Linked DNA regions of Macaca mulatta. The protein of the gene in region 1 purifies or fractionates together with the protein of each later gene. This does not show direct contact. Links are inferred from orthologs where the notes say so. Each region holds a gene or a part of one and is shown in the gene's direction. Other genes may lie near its edges.

Region 1 (3,568 bases):
GTGAGTGCATTGGGGTCAGTGCCCATTCAGATGACTGGGTGGAGGTGACTACTCCAACTACTCCAGTTGGGAATGAGTAGTTTTAAACTATTTTAAGGCACTGCTTTAAAGCACATTTGAAGAGCTGTCTGCAGGATGGGAAAAAAAATAAGGGAATAGGAAGCAAAAGGAAGCCAAAATTAAAGATAAGGAATTAGGCTGGAGATGGCGATGGTCAGTGGCAGTGGCTAAGGTGAAAAGCAGAATCAGGAAGTAGCGTTAGATCTTAATGTTGATTTATGCCACCTACATATACTATGCTTTCTCTTACTCTTCTTGTCGTCTTAATAAACACTCTTTGCAACCTCAAATCTCCATGAACTTGACATTGCTGGAGTTCCTCAGTCCATATTGAATGAAGAACAAAATATGCAAAGTAACCATAAAGTTATTTTTTTGAGAGGGTCACTCTGCCTTGAGTTCTCACTTCAGTAGAACTCAAGAGAACATATTATAGAGATTTTCTACCAGAAAGCCTGCCCAAACTTGTGTTACCCTTCAATATTTTGTTCAGAATGGGTCACAGTGTGCCTGTAAATGGATTTGAGTCTCTCAAAAGGAGGATACATTTTATTTGCATTATTATATTACCCAGAGTCCATGATCTGCTGAGATAGGCACATTCCCAGCAGAAATGAGAACCAGCAGTGGAGTCTTATTGCAACATAGAAATATTTGAGCATGTATCACTTTAACAACATTTTTGTTAAGGAAAAATATGTTTAAGCATTATTCTTGCCCTTGATAGCTATTTTAGTCTTATTTTTATTGATATGTGCTGTATTAGAAAGACTAGAGTTAAGCAGTTCTTTTCTTGATTACAAGTATTATCTGAGAAATATTTAAAACTTGCTGCCTAAATTTGGTCATTAAAATTTAAACTAAGTTGAGAACTTCCTTGTTTGTCTTATTTGATACTGAGAGACTGCACAGCTGTGTAAAACCAAAGCTGGGCTCTGAGGTCAGAGAAATACGGATTCTCAGCCCATCTCATTGACTTCAACTAGGTATAATGCATGAGGAAAGTCTCTTAGCCTCTATATGTTTCAGTATTCCTGGCTGTAAAATAACTAATACCCATTTTACATAGCTGCTTTGAAGACTGAGATAATGAATATTAGAGGACTAGTTGATACTAAGTATTCAACATAACATGGCAAATTTAAAACATGTAAAATATATACTTACTAAATAAGATAGTGGAAGCTGATGTGTACTTAGAAAAGATCAAGCCATGGCACACAGCAAGATTGCATATTAAGAAGAAAAAAAAATAAGAAGTGAACATTTATTACTCAAGGACTGGATATACTAAGTAGTTTTTGTTTCTAACATTATTCATATATAATATCATGAATATGTCATTTATAAATACTGTCGTTACTTATATATTGACAGTCATTCTATCCCAGGTCAATTAAAGCTGTCATTTTTAGGCCTTTACATTTAATAAAGCTTAGCTCAATTTTTCCTTGAATATCGCGTATAAAAATCATTTTTGCTTGCGTTTTGCAGCATTCCCTAGAGATCCAGAAATCGAGATGAGAGGTGTCCTTGTGAGTGAGAGCCCCATCACTGTAAGCTGCAAGGTTTCTAGCGTGTACCCCCTTGACCGGTTGGAGATTGAATTACTTAAGGGGGAGACTGTTCTGGAGAATAAAGAGTTTTTGGAGGATACAGATATGAAATCTCTAGAGAACAAAAGTTTGGAAGCGACCTTCATCCCTACCACTGAAGATACTGGAAAAGCTCTTGTTTGTCAGGCTAAGTTACATATGGATGAAATGGAATTTGAACCCAAACAAAGGCAGAGTACACAGACACTTTATGTCAATGGTAAGTACATATGTGAGGTATCTACAGCTTAATACCTGTCTCTTTATCGTGTTTGCCAGGCAATAGTTAACATAAGGTTAATAGTTAAAACCTCTGTAGAGAAAAAACATAACTGAAAAGAAATTTCAAAATAATAATGATTGTAACAAATCACCCTCCATAAAGTTAAAAGAGTAACTATTTACTGACTTATGATGCTTTGAGTTGGCAATTTAGGAAGGGGCCAGCTAGGCAGTTATTCTGCTCGATATGGTATTAGCTGAGCTCGCTCATGCATTTTCTGTAAGGTTAGCAGGACTGGCTGGTCTCAGATGACTTCACCCACATGTCTGGAGCCATATCTGGGATGACCTGGCCTCTCTTTCTTTATGCGTTGTCACCCTGAGAAACAGTAGCCTAGATTTACTCACCAGAGCTCAGTTTTCAAGAAGGTGTAAATGAAAGCAGCCTCTTCAAGGCCTGGGTTTGGAAGTCCTACAGTGTTACTTCTTCCACATTCTATTGGTCAAAGTGAGTCATGAGGCCAGCCTAGAGTTTCAAGGGGTGGAAAAATAGACCACATCTTTTTACAGAAGGAGATTCAAATAATTCATAGTCTTGTTGACTCTACCATAAATGGCAGTACACACTATCATTGACCCTCGTCATTCTTTGGTTGCAAGGGAGGTTATACTGAACTTACTTCCATTAGAAAACACCATGACGTGTCCACGTTCTGCTCTATCATTTGGTATCAACTAAAGTAAATAAGGACCAAAACCTCTTGGTTAAATTATCAAGGTTTATAAACTGTTTGCATCTGCTGAACCCATAGCCCAGTTTTGCAACATTATTAAAACTCTTTGGAACTCAGGGCATAAGGGGTCCAGCTAACAAGCCTCTCTGCCTTTTCAGTTGCCCCCAGAGATACAACCATCTTGGTCAGCCCTTCCTCCATCCTGGAGGAAGGCAGTTCTGTGAATATGACATGCTTGAGCCACGGCCTTCCTGCTCCGAAAATCCTATGGAGCAGGCAGCTACCTAATGGGGAGCTACAGTCTCTTTCTGAGGATGCAACTCTCAACTTAATTTCTACAAAAATGGAAGATTCTGGAGTTTATGTATGTGAAGGAATTAACCAGGCTGGAAGAAGCAGAAAAGAAGTAGAATTAATTATCCAAGGTGAGCAGAGTGTGAGTAGTGAGTTATCCTTGCTAGTAATTTTTTTGGTTATGTTACTGATTATGAGTAAAGTCTTCTTTGAAAACAAAATTTTTACTACAAAAGTGTGTTGAGGGTTTTGAAGAGCTTATGATGTTTCCAATGTATGGAGAAATTTCCTGAAATTGTCCTTTCTCATGAATCGTTACAAGTTTCTTATCCTGAGATTCTTTCAAACTTAAGTGAAATGCAAGCCTTCAGGACCTGTGTCAGAAGTTCCAGTTACACTTATGAGGCAATGGTTATGGTGTTGAGATAAGAATAGGAAGAGGAATCTCTTCATTTGGAATTATGTAGGATTAAAGCCACCATATCTGGCTGAATTGAACTCTGAGTGGCAATCTCACAAGATGGCCAGTAGTATTTGCTTAGAAGCCTAAGCTGGCACTTAAGTCTTTTGCAAATTCTGAGATTATTAGTAGCCATGACTCTGTCCTCTCGTTCATCAGCCTGACAACATGGAACCACTAAAGTAGATTAAGTCAACAGATCT
Region 2 (3,568 bases), on another chromosome or scaffold:
AAAGTGGTTTGAAGACTTCTGATCATCAGTCGGTATTAAGGTAATTTCAGGAAGAAATTCCCAACAGAAAGTGATTACAGACATGGGATTCAGTCCCCAGTGAAAGTAATGTATTGTTTTTCTTAATTACCAGGGGGTTGCCACCCAGCTCTCTAAGATTATGCAAATTGATGATCTTTCAGTGTGTTTCCCCTACCCCACAGCCACTCTGTCACCCTTAAAACCTATTTTTTGAGAGTCCATAACCCTTACTGCTCCCAGGTGACTGCCCAGGACGTGCGGAAGGAAAGCCCCCTGCTCTTTAAGTTCCGTGCCAAGTTCTATCCTGAGGATGTGTCCGAGGAATTGATTCAGGACATCACTCAGCGCCTGTTCTTTCTGCAAGTGAAAGAGGGTATTCTCAATGATGATATTTACTGCCCGCCTGAGACTGCTGTGCTGCTGGCCTCGTATGCTGTCCAGTCTAAGTATGGCGACTTCAATAAGGAGGTGCATAAGTCTGGCTACCTGGCCGGAGACAAGTTGCTCCCACAGAGGTGAGGTGATTCCCTGCCCTCCTTTGCCTTGGCCATAAGGGGCTGCAGCCCACAGCTGACCAATCCCTGCCCCACAGGGGATGCCAGATCTGTTCCTCTCCATTGGGATCTGTCTGAAGACTGTGTTATGCTGCTCAAGAGACATTTGCATATAGTGTCATACTCTGTTGTTATTTTTCTGGCTTTCCAAATAAAAAGCCTTTTTTCCCCTCTGTCTGCCTGATTACAGAACTTTATTACCTGGGAGGCAGGTGCTTATGTAGAACCAGAGATTGAGTAATTTCTTTCACCTCTCCCTGGTTCCATTTTCTCAGTTCTTTTTACTGATTTAGATCTCTTATATCAGAAGTTCACAGGGGAGAGAGAGAAATAAGCAAACCAGGGACATGGAGAACTCAAATAGTCTTTTAATATTGACAGCTAGTGTACAGAGCTTTCTCCTTTTGTAAACTTCAAAGTCAAAAGCTCTAAAACCCTCATTATTTTTGTTTTTGCATCACAATAACACACAAAATGAACAAAGCAGGCATTATCCTTATTTCCTGGCCGAGGAAATAGAGGTGCAGAGGTACTCACACTGACTTTCCCCATCTGCTGCAGCTCATCTGAGGCAGAGCCAGAGCCAGACCTGGAAGCTTAGCACCTTAATATTTTAACACTAAATTTTTTCCAACTATACACAATGGCTGTTTCCATAGTCTTTTGGATTAGAAGGAAAAGCTTTGCTTCATTCTGGGAGCCTCAGTCCCACTGGAGTTATGGCATATATGTACAACACACTCATAAGATATTAGGGATAGTGCTTGTACCCTGGGGACTCTCCCTGAGTCATTGCCATGATATCTGAGATGGCATGTTTAAAGCTAACCTTGTTTATAATCTAGTAGGTCTTGGAGGTTGGGCCTGTTGGTTTTTCTCAAAGCCATTAGGACTCAGTTCATTGCTCTGTAGCCAAAGGCCATTCTTTCATTTCTGAGCAGTATTCTTATAAACATAGACTGTTGGTCCCAAGAGGATCTAGGAGAGAGTATACCTGGCTCTATGAGGTCCATCCCTACTTTTAGCCCCTCAAGTCAGCACAAACTCCTGATGCTTTATTGCTATGCTTAGGGACCACAGCACATCATTTGATTTGTGGATAAAGGTACAAAGGAAGGTGTTCCCCTTGTTGTTTTTGATCATCCATTCTTGTAGCTCTCTTACCTTTCAGGCAATTCCTTGTGTCTAATTTAATACCTTTTTAGCTATAATTTCAGTCTGCTTCCAGCGTGACCTCAGTTGGCTGACTCTACATCCTCTTTGCATCAGCCCCTTAGAAAGCTAAATGGGCTTCCCTTCTCTCCTGCACAGGGACTTTTGCGCTTTAAACTACTCATCACCCATTGTCTTTCCAGAGTCCTGGAACAGCACAAACTCAACAAGGACCAGTGGGAGGAGCGGATCCAGGTGTGGCATGAGGAACACCGTGGCATGCTCAGGTAAGCTTGCCCAAGCAGTGGTGGGCCCCACTTCCCTTATAGGGTGAATGAGAATGCGTTCTGGGGAGAAGAGACAGATGACAAGGGACATTGGTAGATGTTGGAGAAGAGGGAACAGGGATGATAGAAGGCAAACTAGGACCATTATAAGGTTGTTTTTTGTTTGTTTGTTTTGCTGAATGGTGGTAACTGATAGCACAAACAGTTTTGACTATCAAGAAATGGAGGGGACCTCAGGATGTCCAGGGAGCTACTGGGCCACCAAGGACTCCCCGCCCCCTGCCAGAAGGAAATAAGGAAGGAGCTCTTAAACATGGCAAAGCATTTTTGAGGGTTGTCTAGTTGAAGGACAAATATCATCATTTTGCCATAACCACATTCTGAGCCCTGCTAAGAATGTGTAAGAGGCTGTCACAATGAATGAGAGAAAGAAAATTGCTTCTGTGGCAGCCAACATGCCAGAGGCCAGCAAGGGTCAACCCATCTTTATTCCCTTTGGGAGCATAGACCCTAGGTTTTTGTTAGGAGATTTTGCTTTGCAAAAGTCATGCTATGCTCTGTTCTCCATCATCTGGTTGCCTTTTGTGCCCTTTCCCACTCCTGATAGCAAGATACTTGTCAGAAGTACAGAGTAAGCAGGCTTTCTCTCTCCTTGGGTCTGACTCACAAGCCCCACTTTGTGACCCCCAACTGTGTCATTTAGGGAGGATGCTGTCCTGGAATATCTGAAGATTGCTCAAGATCTGGAGATGTATGGTGTGAACTACTTCAGCATCAAGAACAAGAAAGGCTCAGAGCTGTGGCTGGGGGTGGATGCACTGGGTCTCAACATCTATGAGCAGAATGACAGGTATATCTCAGATCTCTTTTAGTTTATTTAGGTTATGTTAACATCTAGGGCTCACTTTTCACCAAGGAGCAAGGCCATAGCTCTTGGGTCCCACCTCAGTTCTTTTTCTGCCTAATTTAGTCCAGCCCAGATGATTTCACAACTTTCCTTAGGCCTCTAAATTCTGTATTGACTAGACTCACACTGTCAACTGTGGTAGCCACCAGCCACATGGGGCTATTGAACACTTGAAATGTGGCTACTTTGAATTGAGATGTGCTGTAAGTGTAAACTACACACTGGACTTTGAAGATTAGTGTGAAAAACAGAATGCAAAAATGTCTTAATATTTTTAAAAATATTTATTTACATGTTCAAATGATAATATTTTAGATATATTGGGCTAATTAAACTTATTAAAATTTTATTACATCCATTTCTTTTTACTTATTTTCATGTAGCTACTAGAAAACTTAAAATTATATATGTGACAGTCATTATGTTTTTATTGATTTGTGCAGGCCTAGACTGTCTTATCGGGATATATTTTGATTAGTCTCCTGTGATAATTAAATGGCTTTTGGCCTATAATCCTCTCACTGTAGCCTTATCTCACTTGCTTATATTTTTCACTTGGTGTGCTCTTGGTGAGAATGGAGATCAATAGATTATTGTTCCATATAACTGCTGAATCTTGGAGTTCATTATTTACGTTTTCTCTAACT

The links.
Region 2: the proteins of VCAM1 (region 1) and MSN purify together in Homo sapiens (affinity purification with western blotting; 3 studies listed by BioGRID, with this or other methods). This does not show direct contact. The link is inferred for Macaca mulatta from reciprocal best matches to the Homo sapiens genes VCAM1 and MSN.

What each region holds. Positions count from the first base shown.
Region 1 is NC_133406.1:139,537,781-139,541,348, reverse strand, and holds part of VCAM1 (vascular cell adhesion protein 1), read left to right. Parts: intron 1-1,554; coding exon 1,555-1,875; intron 1,876-2,769; coding exon 2,770-3,036; intron 3,037-3,568. UniProt on the Homo sapiens protein: Cell adhesion glycoprotein predominantly expressed on the surface of endothelial cells that plays an important role in immune surveillance and inflammation.
Region 2 is NC_133426.1:71,831,677-71,835,244, forward strand, and holds part of MSN (moesin), read left to right. Parts: intron 1-261; coding exon 262-536; intron 537-1,930; coding exon 1,931-2,014; intron 2,015-2,717; coding exon 2,718-2,864; intron 2,865-3,568. UniProt on the Homo sapiens protein: Ezrin-radixin-moesin (ERM) family protein that connects the actin cytoskeleton to the plasma membrane and thereby regulates the structure and function of specific domains of the cell cortex.